Mus musculus: one gene and its partners. The protein of the gene in region 1 purifies or fractionates together with the protein of each later gene. This does not show direct contact. Links are inferred from orthologs where the notes say so. Each region holds a gene or a part of one and is shown in the gene's direction. Other genes may lie near its edges.

Region 1 (4,022 bases):
GCATGTGACAATTAAAATTAGGGGTTGGTAGCTGCAACCACCACTGGTAGGGCTTTGGTAAAATACCTTTTCCTGCTCTATCTCTCTGAGTTATGGCAGGCCAAGTCAGCCCCAGCCAGCAGCAGAGTTTACTCTCCGGAAATCCGAGCAGAGCTGCAGAGGGGAAAGGTCTAGACAAAGGCCCTCACTGAGCAGCTCCAGCATGGTGGACTGTGGTGGTTCACAGAGTTACGGTGATATGTCTTTAAGATAGAAAATTGAGTCATTTAAAAACTAAGCTGGCCCTACAGCACCGGCCCTGCCTCAGTGATGCATGGGCTTCCTGCCAGTACCTGTACATAAGGACCTATTGTTTACTTGCGTTAATTACAGCGCTGGGATGAAAGAAGGCAGTGGGGCAACTTTCCCTGTTGCCATTGTTTGGGAAGAGACGTGAGCTCAGAATAATAGGCTGGAGACAGCCAATTCACCCCAACTGCTCCAGTTTTGACAAGTGCCAATCGTGAAGGACAACAATGGGGCCATTTCCAAGAGAAGATCCAACTTCACCCTATTGTCATGATTTGGGGGGGGGGGAGCTCTCGAAGGATACAAAATTAGTTTTGAAAATTTAAGAGGTTACCCACAGGTCCTCTCAGCAACACACTCGAGTTTCTCAAACAATACAGAAAAATCGCTGTCCTTGGTCCCCACGCCTGGTTCTACTGACCCAGTGAGTCTGGGTAAGATGGGGTTTCTAGGAATCACGCTGGTGAACGCAGTGGTGGAGCTGAATCACTTGTTAATAGATGTTCGCAGACACTCTTGGGGACTCCAAGGCCTCCTGGGGTGGGGAGGAAAGGTGGCTGGGCCCCAGGTTCCCTGTCCGGATTCCAGAGGCACAGCGGGAAGGGAAGCGGGACACTCCTGGGAGCGGTAAAGTGTGGTGGGGTCCAATGGTGGTTCAGGGGTGTGGCGGCCGGTGCACCGGTGATGGCAGCCTCGAACCTGCGCCGTCCGAGGCCGCACTCCACCCGGCCCGCGGCGGCGGCCCGCTCTCGATTCCTTTAGTTTCCAATGGAGCGGCGTCTGGACGCCCCGCCCCGGCTCGGCCCCTCCCGGCGGCGCACGCGCAGAGCGACTCGGACTGGCGGGGACTACTTTCCCCGGCCCGCCCGCGCCCCGCCCCTCGTCCTCGCGCGGCGGAACGCTCCGCGCGGAGCGGCAGCGGCAGGATACACGGTGCCGCGCCGCTTATAAATCGCTCCTTGTGCGGCGCCATCTTAAGCCCTCGCTCGGTGGCGGCCGCGTCAGCTCGTGTCCTGTGAAGCCCGCGGCCCGGGGAGGCGGAGACGGAGCACGGTGGGCGCCGAGCCGTCAGTGCAGGAGGCCGAGGCCGAGCGGGCGGCCGCGAGTGAGCAGCGCGCGGGCCTGAGGTGCGGCGCCGCGGCGGGCCGGCTCGCGCCGCGCCAGCGGGAAACTTCGCGGGCCGGGTGGCGGCGGGAGGCCGCGGGGACGCGCGGGCTGGGGCCGGGGCCGGGCGGGCGCGCGCCGGGAGCCCGGATGGACGGCTGGCCGCCGTGGGGGGTGGGGACCGCGGTTCGCGTCCGGGCTGGGGCCGCCGCGGGGGCGGGGTGGGCGGGGGCCTCGCCTCCGTGGCCCGCGGAGCCGGGGGGACGCGAGACCTGGCGCTCGTCCCCTCTGTCCCTCGTGGAGCACGCACAGACAAATTTTTTTTTCTCCCTGCAACGACCTGACTGTGAGTTTGAATCCAAACAACTTTAAGCCGTGGAGTCGCCAAACTTGGATGCAGCGGGCGGGATGCGTCAGGAGCGTGTTCTCGGAGGGTGGCTTCTTGGACTCGCGTGGGGTTGGTGGCTGCGGGGCCGAGGTCCTGGCGGGAATTTGGGACCGTGGACGAGTCACCGGCCACTCCTGGTGTTGGAGGCGGGGGGGGGGGGAGGTGCGCGGGATCCGAAACCTGGGCTTGGGGGAGGGGGACTTGCCCTTAGCCAGTAAGTGTGGGGTCCGCTCCAAGTGTTTCTCCCCAGCGCGTTTGCTTTCTGAGCGAGACGGAGTGGCCGGAGCGCGGACCGCCAGGGCGTGGGAGCCTGGCGACTTGTTCTGAGTGTTGTTTGGGGGACCAGACTTGGAACCGACGCTCCCAAGTTCGGTACCCCAGGCCCGCTCCGGTGAGCCCGCTGGCTGCGGGGCAGCTTTGTCTCGGGCTCGGGTCTCCAGACATCTGTGGGCTCCCCTCCCCCGCGCCCCCCGCAGCCCCCCTCCCGGGGCCTGAGCTCTGAATGGAGAGCGGCTGGGCTGCTGGTATGCGGAGGTCGGCGAGAGGAAATCGAGGAGTGGTTTTAGTGAAACGAGAGCTTTGTGCCATGAATAATGGTGGCTTAGACCAGACAGCAAGCTGAGGAGACGGCAGCTTTGCCTTTGATAAAGTCTGCCTCATGTTTTTCACATGGCCAAGTTGTGAAGCGTTTTGTCTGGGATTTAGGAAGCCATTTCGCTATTTACTTGAGGTTTGCAGATGTCTCAGTGCAGTCTCTCCTCGTCCCGGGAAAGAGCTTGCTTTCTTGGTTCTAATTTAATGTTGCTTAAGCTTGTGGCCTTTGTATTTCGGTTTTGTATGTCCGGCTCAAACTTTGAGTTAAGGCCCGCAGTTACATTTAGTTCACTTTCACCTTAAACATTCAGAAATCCCCGAAATTAAAATGAAGTGCCTCCAAGGTTTGTTTGAGAACGCCCTTTCACAGCGGACAACATTGTTGATGGTACTGGGGATAGTCATTCTGTGACCTACCTAACCTTTGTCCTCAAGGCCGAGTCTGGACAAGGCCTTTAGTGGTGGCAAGGAAGTTGGAAACTTGCAGATGTTTCTCTACAACAAACCCTCCCAGGCTGAAGTCCTTAATTAAGGAAGCAGGCTATCTGGAAAGCTTAGCTTGCCTGGGACAGAGTCCTGGGCCTCACAGTCTGTAAAAAGACTATCTTCAGATAGGGAAACATTTAATCGAATGCAGGCGTGAAGAAATAGAGTTTAACTGTCATGTGATCATTTCTCATAGTCTAGAGCAGTGCTTCTCAGTCAGTCTTCCTGATGTTGTGACCTGTTAAAATAGTTTCTCAACTGTTATGGTGACCCCAACCGTAAAACTTTCCTTGCTACTTCACAACTGACTTTGCTACTGTTGTGAACCATAATGTAAATGTTTTCCCACGGTCTTAGGTGACCCCTGTGAAAGGGTTGTTGAACCCCCAGATTGAGAACACTAGTTTAGAGACTGTATATTGGGTATCTATGTCTCCAGCTTGAAGGGAAGTATCTACTGCTGTAGTGACGATGGGACTAGAGACTGTGAGTGAAGCCTTAGCTCACGAGTCTCAGAATCCCAGAATCCCACCGCCAAGGTGGAGGATGGGGAACTTTCTTAGTCGGAGTGTATTTTGAAATGTGTGCTCAGGAAAACTGGTGGAGCCCTTTTGCAAATAAACTCAGGGCAGAGCATGGACAAGAGCCTGTGCACACTGCAGGTGGCGAGTGGAGTGGAGTGGTATATTTACAGTCGTTTGTTGCTGTACTTCTAAGCAGGAAGTGGACAGTGAAAGTAGATGGAGTCAACTGAAATATCAGTGCTGAGGTGAGGTGAGGTGAGGCCAGGTCGTGGTCTCTGCCCATCACCTAGTGGTAAATTTTTAGTGTCCTTGGCCAGAAGCAAACCCGAGGGACAAACTCCTGAAACGGTGTTCACAAACTCGTAAAAACCTTGCAAACGTACAAACATTTTAACTCCATTTTCTTTTGTTGTTTTGTGGCCCCTGTCAACTCCTTTTTATTTAAAACAATCTCACTGAAGACATCTTCATGCCACAGAGAGTAAAGTAGATGAGCAGCTACAGTTCTGAGGCCTGTGGAGGCAGCCTCTGTCCTGAGAGGACGCAGCTTGAGGAATGTTAGGCAGCCCTGCGATGCTTGCTCTTCAGCAACACCGGTCATGGTGTGGTTCCTAGGTTAGCTACAAGTTTTATAAAAG
Region 2 (4,249 bases), on another chromosome or scaffold:
AGAATCGGAAGTTCAAGGCCATCCCAGGTGCATAGTTTCAGGCCAGCCTGAGACACATTACACTTTTTTTAAAAAGTCATCATTGTTAAGCTGGTCATTGTGGGTCATTGTCTTTTATTCCAGCAGTTAGGAGCCAGAGACAGAAGGTTTGAATGAATTCAAGGCCAGCCTGAGACTACAATGTGAGAGTCTGCCTCAAAACAAAAGAAAAAAAAAAAAAAACCACACAAACAAGCAAACACAAAAAACGGACAAAGGAGATGGTTTAGCAGGTAAAGCACACTGGAGAAATGGCTCAGAGGTTAAGAACACTGGCTGCTCTTGCAGAGGTCCTGAGTTCAATTCCCAGCAACCACATGGTGGCTCACAACCATCTGTAATGGGATCTGATGCCCTCTTCTGGTGTGTCTGAAGACAGCGACAGTGTACTCACATAAAATAAATAAATACATAAATAAGTGTTAAAAAAAAAAGTTTGGGCCCAGCAGGTAATGCACAATCCTAACGACCTGAGTTCAATCCCAGAATCCATTTAAAGGAGGAAGGCGAGAACCAACTCCACAAAGTCGTCCTCTGACCTTCACATGTGTGCGATGGGCCATTCATACATGACAATAATAAATAACGCAAAAATCTCCATTGTTTGCATTTAACATAAAATTAAGGAAACAATTATATTTGGAGAAAGAAAACATTTATATTGGGGGTGCCAGAAATAATGGGGCTGATAACAAATAGCTTGTGCCCTACCTCAAGCCCTTTGAAGTTACTATGGCTTCCAAACTCTGGGACTTTCTGTACTAGCTGCCTTCCATTTGTCCAGCTGCAAACGGAAGTTACTATTCTCTCACACGTGTATCAGATCGCGTAGCGCGGTCCTTTGAGACCTCGATGCCACTTTTAAAACCCGGGAGCGCTCCCCCGCCCCCGCCCCTGCCCCTCCCCGGCCTAGTGTGGGAGGTAGAGAAAGTGGCAGAGGGCAGACCCCTCTGTAGCGGGTGTAAAGACACGCCCTGCCTTCATCAAAGCTTTGAACACAGCGCCTCCGGTAGCATGAATGGGGAGCCTCTGTTTTTTTGTCGGGTTTCAGATGCGTCTCCACTTTTTTTCCGTTGTAGCTGCCAGCAATGGAATATTTGTCTTCCCGTGCTGCAGAGGCTGAGGTGGAGTGGATTGGGGGGTTTTGTTTTGTTAGATTATTTTCCATCGAAGCCAGAGACTGCGAGAGCCACGGGGTACCTTTCAGAAGTAGTTCCAGAAGAGCAGGGAGGCCGGTGGAGGGCACCAGGGAGGACCTTTAGGGCTTCGAGAGTGCCTTCGGCAGGCTGGCCTCGACCCCACCTGCGAGGGGGCGGGACCTTGTGACGTTGGACCAATCAGCAGCTACCTGAGCGCACCTGGCCTCCTCCCGCGGGCTCCAGCGAGCCGCGGTGCTCAAAGCTGCACCCGGAGCTTAGCAGAGCGCGCCCCACCGTCGCGGCAGCCTTCTCACCTCCCTTCAGTTATGGAGCTTCTTAGTGGGCCTCACGCCTTCCTGCTCCTCCTGCTCCAGGTACCACAGTGCTTTGCCATGGTCCTGACCCGGATTGTTCCCTGGAGGGCGGGTGGGGTTCTCACGCTGCGGGCGTCGGGGGAATCTTAGGGCTGTGCTCCTTGGGGCCAAGGTTGTCCCGGAGGGCCCCCCCCCCAGGACTCCCAAGAATGGGTGTACAGAACCAGGCATGCCTGTGACTCAGCCTCCTCTTTAACCCTTCTACCCTCACACTCAGGTTTGCTGGCTACGCAGCGTGGTCTCCGAGCCCTACCGAGCGGGCTTCATCGGGGAGGCTGGAGTGACCTTGGAGGTGGAAGGAACTGACCTGGAGCCGAGCCAAGTTCTGGGGAAAGGTAAGACCCCTCCCGGAGCCAGCCTGGATGGAGCCACAGTGCGGAAGACCACACGTGCTTCGCTTTACTGTGGCGCATCGGAAGGTTGTCTAGAGCAGAGCTGGGACGTCTTGGAGCCACCCCACATCCTCGGGAGGCGTAGAAAGTGGCTCCCGGGCTGGGCTGGGCGCGAGAAGGCTGAGCAACGGTGCGCCTACTAACGTCCAGCTCTTCTGTGCCTCGCTGCTACTGTTGTTGCTTATCTTGACCTCTCGGTGCCTCGCGGCTGAGCCCCTCACCCAGCCCCGACGTGGAAAACTCTCCCGCCCCGCCACAGTAGAGGAATGCGCAGTGCACATTCCTCCCGCAACCCCCGCGCAGGTGTGGAGATGAACCGTGCCCTGAGCAGCCCCCTTCGCCCCTTCTCTGGCCCCCTTTGTGAACCGTGCTTTGTGTCTCCGACAGACAGACCCGGTCTGTTTCTCTTCTCCAGGCTGCCCTCCCCGCCCCCCTTCTTCCCGGGCAGCTGGAATGCACTCTTAACCCTGCCATTCCCGGAGGGCCTGCGCCCCTGCAGCCTGCCTGCGAATGGCCTGGCACACCTGGGCGGAGGGCATCACGCACCGGGAACACTAGGTCCCTCACTCCAAGCGTCTTGGTACTAGGATGTTAATTACTTGAGTCGCGGGGGAAGGGGGGAAGGCAGTCTGTGTCCCAAGCCGACCAGTGAGTGAGCGAGCGAGCGATCAAAGCACATTTTGATCTTTCTGTTGCGATTTTCTCCACTCAAGTTCAAAAACTTAAAAGTGGAGGGTCATTTCGGTACTGAGAACCACCAGTGTGTCATGAGACTCGGGCATCTATCAGCTGGTTAGCGGGCTCTTTGACTACAGAGGACAGTGGGATTTTTCTCGGGAGTTTAAACCCAAGTTGTTAAACTCGGATCCTTAAGTAAAGTTCCAGAGAACGTGGGAAGGGAATCTCTAGTTTCTGCTGACTTCCAAAAAGCATCTGCCACCTAGCATTTTCTAGTGCTTCTCACTCCAGGTCCACACGTCCACAGCTTGAATATGGGGGTGTCCACGCTGAGAAGCAGAATGACTTTCCTTTGTTTCTCCAAAAGAAAAGTGAGACCCTTGTGTCTGTAGAACGCCTTTTTTAAAAAAAAAATTTTTTTTTTCCTCAAATAACTCTGCAGATTGACAAAACAATTAACACCCAGGCTAGGCTAGGTTCCTTAAAGGCTTGGCTGTAGGGAGCCGGAGCCTAGGCAGTAAGAGGCCATGCCTCATAAACTTTAAATTCTTGCACATGGGTTTATTACTGGCGGGCTAACAAACTGCAACTGAGCCAACCTGTAAAAATGTTAACTTGGCCAGGGCCCCAAATCCAATTCTGGCTCCCTGAGGAAGCTCTATGGCTGACCAGATCTCTGCCAAATCCACCTCCCCCCACCCCACGCCCCCACCCCAGCCCTCACCCCCACCTCCACATCCTCTGCTGTATTCAGAGAGCAGGTATAGCTTTGAGTTGTGTCTTATCTTCCTTACTGAAGCAAAAAGTATCAGATTAGCCGCCACTTTCCTTGGCTTGAGGTTGCTGATCAGGGTTTTGATTACATGGTTGAGTTGGCCTGAGCTTCCTGGTGACATCACCAATTTTAAAACTTTTTTTTTTCCTGAGGAAATTCTGCTTTCTCTGATGTCTGGTTTATGATTGTGAAAATGGTAGGCTTGTACCAAGAATGTACCTGGTTAATAAAACAGAGTAGACTAATGTGCTTGGCACATCGTGATTTTCCCGACAAACACTACTGACTCTCGGGACAGACTTCCCTGGAAATGGGAAATCACTTTGGTCTTGAGTGAAAGCAAGTTTCCGGCCCACTTAGTGCTAGTAAGTTGAGACTTTGCAAACTAGATGGTGTGCTTATAGTCCCAGCTGCTTCAGAGACGAGACAGGATCTCTTGGTCCCAGGAATTTAGCCCAACATAGAGACTATAGCAAAATCCTAGCTCCTTTTTAAAAAATTACTTAGTTTGCTGTGGTGGTGATGCACACCTTTAATCCCATCAGAAGTCATAGGCAGATGCTCTCCCAGGCCAGCCAGGGCAACATAGTGAGACCCTTTATCAAAAAACCAAAACGAACCAAAAACACCCAATAAGAATATTTATTATTTGTGGCCAGAGTGCATTCAGAAGTCTATTTTTCTTCCCTCTGTGGCTTCCTGATATTGAACTCAAGTTTTCAGGCTTGCTCAGCAAACACTTTCATCCACTAGCCCAAGTGTGTATGAGACAGAGAGGAGACAGAGAGAGAGAGAGAGAGAGAGAGAGAGAATGTGTTTGCATGTATGTATGTGCACCACGTGTGCCTGCAG
Region 3 (4,213 bases), on another chromosome or scaffold:
GGTCTACATTGACTCCAACACCGAAACGTTCTTGAGGCGGAGGTGTGCGACCTTCAGTTTACTGCATGGCTATCCAAAGGGCCTAGTGTCTTACAGAAACAGTGATCGGTCGTGGTGAATTCGATGCTGGGTGCCAAGGAGATGCCACTGAAGACGCGGCCTTAACTAGCGTCTGAGTCAATGGGCTCCGGATGCAACTTCCCAGACTGAGCAGCTGCCTAAAGACCCCAAGAGAGAATTTCGTGACCCATGTGGCCGCCGGAAGTCTCAGTTCCTGGACAGCAGGTTCTAAGCGTCGAACTTAGTTGAAAAAGTCATAGCGGGCTGGAGAAACCACGTGAGTGGCCACGATCCTTCCTCGCCTCGAGCCACCACATGTCATATATTTATAGTGTTTGATTTGCACATGCAACAACAGGCAGGAGCTCAATAAATGTGTGAGGCGCTAATGCTTGTGTCTATGTAAGCAGGCTGTCTGGAATAAGGTCCCTAATCGGCACAGGGATGATCAAAAGGGCAGGTGTTTGTGTGTGTGTGTGTGTGTGTGTGTGTGTGTGTGTGTGTGTCAGGGTCCATCTAGTATCCCGGGGACGTAAGAAGCCTCCAGATTGAGCAAAGGACGCTGTTCACACCAAGGTTCCAAGTCATCCACAGGTTCCACCGGTCTAAGGAACCACCTTCTCCGCAACTTGGACGCAAGTTGTGGCTGTATGATAGTTAAGGAAATGGAGTTCCAGAGTTTAGTAATGGATTTCAGGTTAGAGAATAGCTGGAGAGCGAGCCCTTTAAGATTATTCCCAGTGGGCCTGTCCCGGTCTCTCCAGGGAGGGGAGGGCGGGGCCTGGGACGTTAGCCCCTCCCACCGCGGCCCCGCCCCGGCGCCCGCCCCGCCCCCGGCTCGCTGCCCGCGGTGCCTTTGATGTTCCGACCCGCCGGCTCCCAAAGCTGCTGTGCCCCGCGCCCTCGCCCCGCGCCCACTGGCCGCTCAGGCGGAGTCAGCGTGCGCTCCGCCCGCCGCGCTCCGGGCTCGGAGCCCCGCACCCTGGGCTCGCCGCCTTCCCGGCCGGCTCCGCGCCCCGCACCCGGCGCCCCGGCGGGCGCAGCGCACCATGCCGCAGCTGGACTCGGGCGGGGGCGGCGCGGGCGCAGGCGACGACCTCGGCGCGCCCGACGAGCTGCTGGCCTTCCAAGACGAAGGCGAGGAACAGGACGATAAGAATCGCGACAGCGCTGTGGGCCCGGAGCGGGACCTGGCAGAGCTCAAGTCCTCACTGGTGAATGAGTCCGAAGGCGCGGCCGCAGGCGCCGGGGTCCCGGGTCCCGGCGTCCGAGTACATGGAGAAGCCGAGGGAGCGCCCGAGGTGAGCCCGGCCCGCTCCTCCCCGGAGGACCTCGTCCCGAGTTGGTAGCGTGCGGACCCGCCCCCCCGCGCCACGGTCCTCGTGGGTCCCATCTCTGGAGCCCCTCCTGTTCCCTCCGCTCCTCATGGCCCCTCTGCTTCGCTCTGCAGGCCCTGGGACGGGAGCACACTTCGCAGAGACTTTTCCCGGACAAACTTCCAGAGTCCCTAGAGGACGGTGAGTTTTTGCGCGGCTGGGGAAGAAGGCGCTAGAACCGGGGGTGGGGGTGTGGGGGGCGGGTTTCCCGGGCGCCGCTGAGCTGGAGTCACTTCCGGTGCCCTGACCTTTATAGGAGTAAACAGACCCCCGCCATCTCCGCCTCCCCTCCAGCCCAGGTGACTGACTAATCCTTTGCCTTGAGGAGCAAGCCTTGGCTAAGGTTCCCAAGCAGGAGGGTGGGGTAGGGAGTCAAGTCCCGGTCGCGAAGTGGAGGTCTGGACTCGGGGGTCTTTCCTCAAAAACTTGCCTTTGCGGATATTTCCACCCGTTCGGAGGTCGCTGTTCCCTGTCAAGTCACGAACTTGAAGGGGACCCCTTGGCAGGGTTTTTTTTTTTTTTTTAACCCCCCTCCGGAGCAGACAGCCTTCAGTCCTTAGGAGCAGCTGGCTGGGCTGGTGTCTGACCCAGCTGTGGTTTTTCCAGGCCTGAAGGCCCCGGAGTGTGCCAGTGGCATGTACAAAGAGACTGTCTACTCTGCCTTCAATCTGCTCATGCCCTACCCACCGGCCTCCGGAGCAGGGCAGCATCCGCAGCCTCAACCCCCGCTGGTAAGTGACCGAAGCAGTCAGGCCCTGTAATGGGGCTGGCTACCTACTTGACCACACAGGTGATGCTTGGACAAAAAAGGACTTCTCTGCCCAATTCCTAGATGCTCTTGCCCAGTTAACATCCAGAGGAGTCTGACCCAAAAGGAGATCTCTGAAGGAGCGCCCCGGCTCCAGTCTTTCTCACTTGCTTTTGACCTTTGTCTTCCCAACTTGCTCAAGCAGGTGCCTGTGTTGGCCCACGGTGGGGTTGAAAACGTTTTTGAGCTGAGCCCATGCCATTCCCTAGCGTGATGTGCATGCTCTGAGCTAGAGCTCTGTGGTTAGCTTTTTTTTTTTTCCTTCAGAGAAGCGAGGGAACTCGGGTGTGAGAAGACTGGGTAAGAGACCTAATCTTTTCCGTTGCCCAGTTCCACTGTGTCCTGACTGCCGTGTATAAGTCCTTGCCGAGGACCCATGCCACATGGTGTAGGTTTTGAGCGGGCTGGGCTGCTCTCGCACACACAAGGAAAGGTTTGCTAAATGTAGGACAGATCAGGGTGTTGGTTAGGGGTCAGCAACGTGAATCAGTGTCAGGCTTGGCGACACGGCTGTATTCATCATGAGCCATGGCTTTGGCCCTTCAAGGCAAGCAAAGTGTGAAGGGCTGGTTCTGAGCTGGGTAGCAGCCAAATATGACTTTTGAAAAGTTCTGGGGTTCCTGAAAACTACTGGGATTCCAGAGTGTCCTCAGTCAGGAGTTAGGGTGTACAGGAAGCATGGAGGTCTGTTGGGTGTCGCCGTGAGCCCAGTGCAGGTTGGAGCCCCGGGGTAGAGCCTTGGATGGCGAGTGGCAGACCCATGCAGAAGGCTCCCCGGTAGGGGGCTAGGATAGGGAGTCTAGGCCTCTTAGCCGAGGGAGACCTGGTAGTCTTTAGAAGTGGACTCCATTCTTTACCTGTAAGCTGTGTGTGTTGACAGAATGGTCTGTTTGTCTGTCTGCTTTTCTGCTCTGGGATGGCTTCTGTCTGTCTGTCTCTGCCTTTCGGCTCTGGGATGGCTTGGTAGATGAGGTGCTTCTCTTGTATGTAAAGAGGTGGCTGGCTCCTGACACTGCCACTTGACAGTGCCACATGCTCTAGATAGAGACTTGTGCCCTGTACAAACAGTGCTTAACCAAGATAACCTTTTAAAATCCCCTAATGGGTGTAAAGCCATCTGGGGGTCAGTTGGCAGAACCTACCCCTTTGAAGTCACTGGCAAGCATTGTCTGGGCTGAGACTAGGCTCACTGCGGTAGCCATGATGAGACAAAAGGCAGAGCCCCCAGAACCTTGCTGGCAAGGTGGATGTTCAGGACTGTCCAGCCACACGGGGAAAGGGCAGTGTGGTTTGGAGGTTTACTCACAGATTTAGCCAGAGACATAAGCTGCCCAGAGCTGCCGGAGGTGGGCATGAGTTAGCGGTGTGACTGTTCAGCCTGAGGGTAAGGGTGATGGATCTCAGGGAGGTCCAAGAGCAGGAGAATGGTGGGTTCCCACAGTCAGGACCATAGTCACCTAGTTTAGGGCTCTGCATATTTTGCTTTGGGGGTCCTTCTCAAGCTACAACAGATGAATAACTACACGTCACTGTCCCCCTGCCCTCCTTCTCAGCCACTGCCCTCATCACTGCCTTCTGGTAACATGGGAGAGGGAGAGTAGGCTCTGGTACTGACTTTCCTGGCCATGGTATCAGCTGCTGAGCAGAATAAGAAACAAAGACAGAAGCAGGGGCTTGTGCTGGAGGGGTGCTGGGTTAGGGACATAGATGTGTAGGAATGCAGAGAGACTATTCGTTATATATGTGTGTGTGTGTGTGTGTATGTGTGTATATACACAAGTGTGTGCATGTGTGTAATGTATATGAGGGCAAGCACACCCCGAGGATAACTGAAGTTGGCTCTCTCCGCTGTGACATGAGTTCTGAGGCTGGAACTCACCATCAGGCTTGCACAAGTCGGTTTAGCTGCTATGCCGTCTTCCTGGCCCAAGAGAGAGTCTCTAGCAAACCTGAGAGACCGCGCAGCAAA

The links.
Region 2: the proteins of Ctnnb1 (region 1) and Cdh3 purify together in Homo sapiens (affinity purification with western blotting; 7 studies listed by BioGRID and IntAct, with this or other methods). This does not show direct contact. The link is inferred for Mus musculus from reciprocal best matches to the Homo sapiens genes CTNNB1 and CDH3.
Region 3: the proteins of Ctnnb1 (region 1) and Tcf7 purify together in Homo sapiens (affinity purification with western blotting; 8 studies listed by BioGRID and IntAct, with this or other methods). This does not show direct contact. The link is inferred for Mus musculus from reciprocal best matches to the Homo sapiens genes CTNNB1 and TCF7.

Annotation. Positions count from the first base shown.
Region 1 is NC_000075.6:120,932,224-120,936,245, forward strand, and holds the start of Ctnnb1 (catenin beta-1), read left to right. Parts: upstream 1-1,176; 5' UTR 1,177-1,415; intron 1,416-4,022. UniProt on the Homo sapiens protein: Key downstream component of the canonical Wnt signaling pathway.
Region 2 is NC_000074.6:106,509,455-106,513,703, forward strand, and holds the start of Cdh3 (cadherin-3 isoform a preproprotein), read left to right. Parts: upstream 1-1,397; 5' UTR 1,398-1,504; coding exon 1,505-1,552; intron 1,553-1,769; coding exon 1,770-1,887; intron 1,888-4,249. UniProt on the Homo sapiens protein: Cadherins are calcium-dependent cell adhesion proteins. They preferentially interact with themselves in a homophilic manner in connecting cells; cadherins may thus contribute to the sorting of heterogeneous cell types.
Region 3 is NC_000077.6:52,280,076-52,284,288, reverse strand, and holds the start of Tcf7 (transcription factor 7), read left to right. Parts: upstream 1-1,361; intron 1,362-1,510; coding exon of another isoform or gene 1,511-1,577; intron 1,578-1,693; exon of another isoform or gene 1,694-1,735; intron 1,736-2,042; coding exon of another isoform or gene 2,043-2,071; coding exon 2,072-2,167; intron 2,168-2,525; exon of another isoform or gene 2,526-2,544; intron 2,545-4,213. UniProt on the Homo sapiens protein: Transcriptional activator involved in T-cell lymphocyte differentiation. Necessary for the survival of CD4(+) CD8(+) immature thymocytes. Isoforms lacking the N-terminal CTNNB1 binding domain cannot fulfill this role.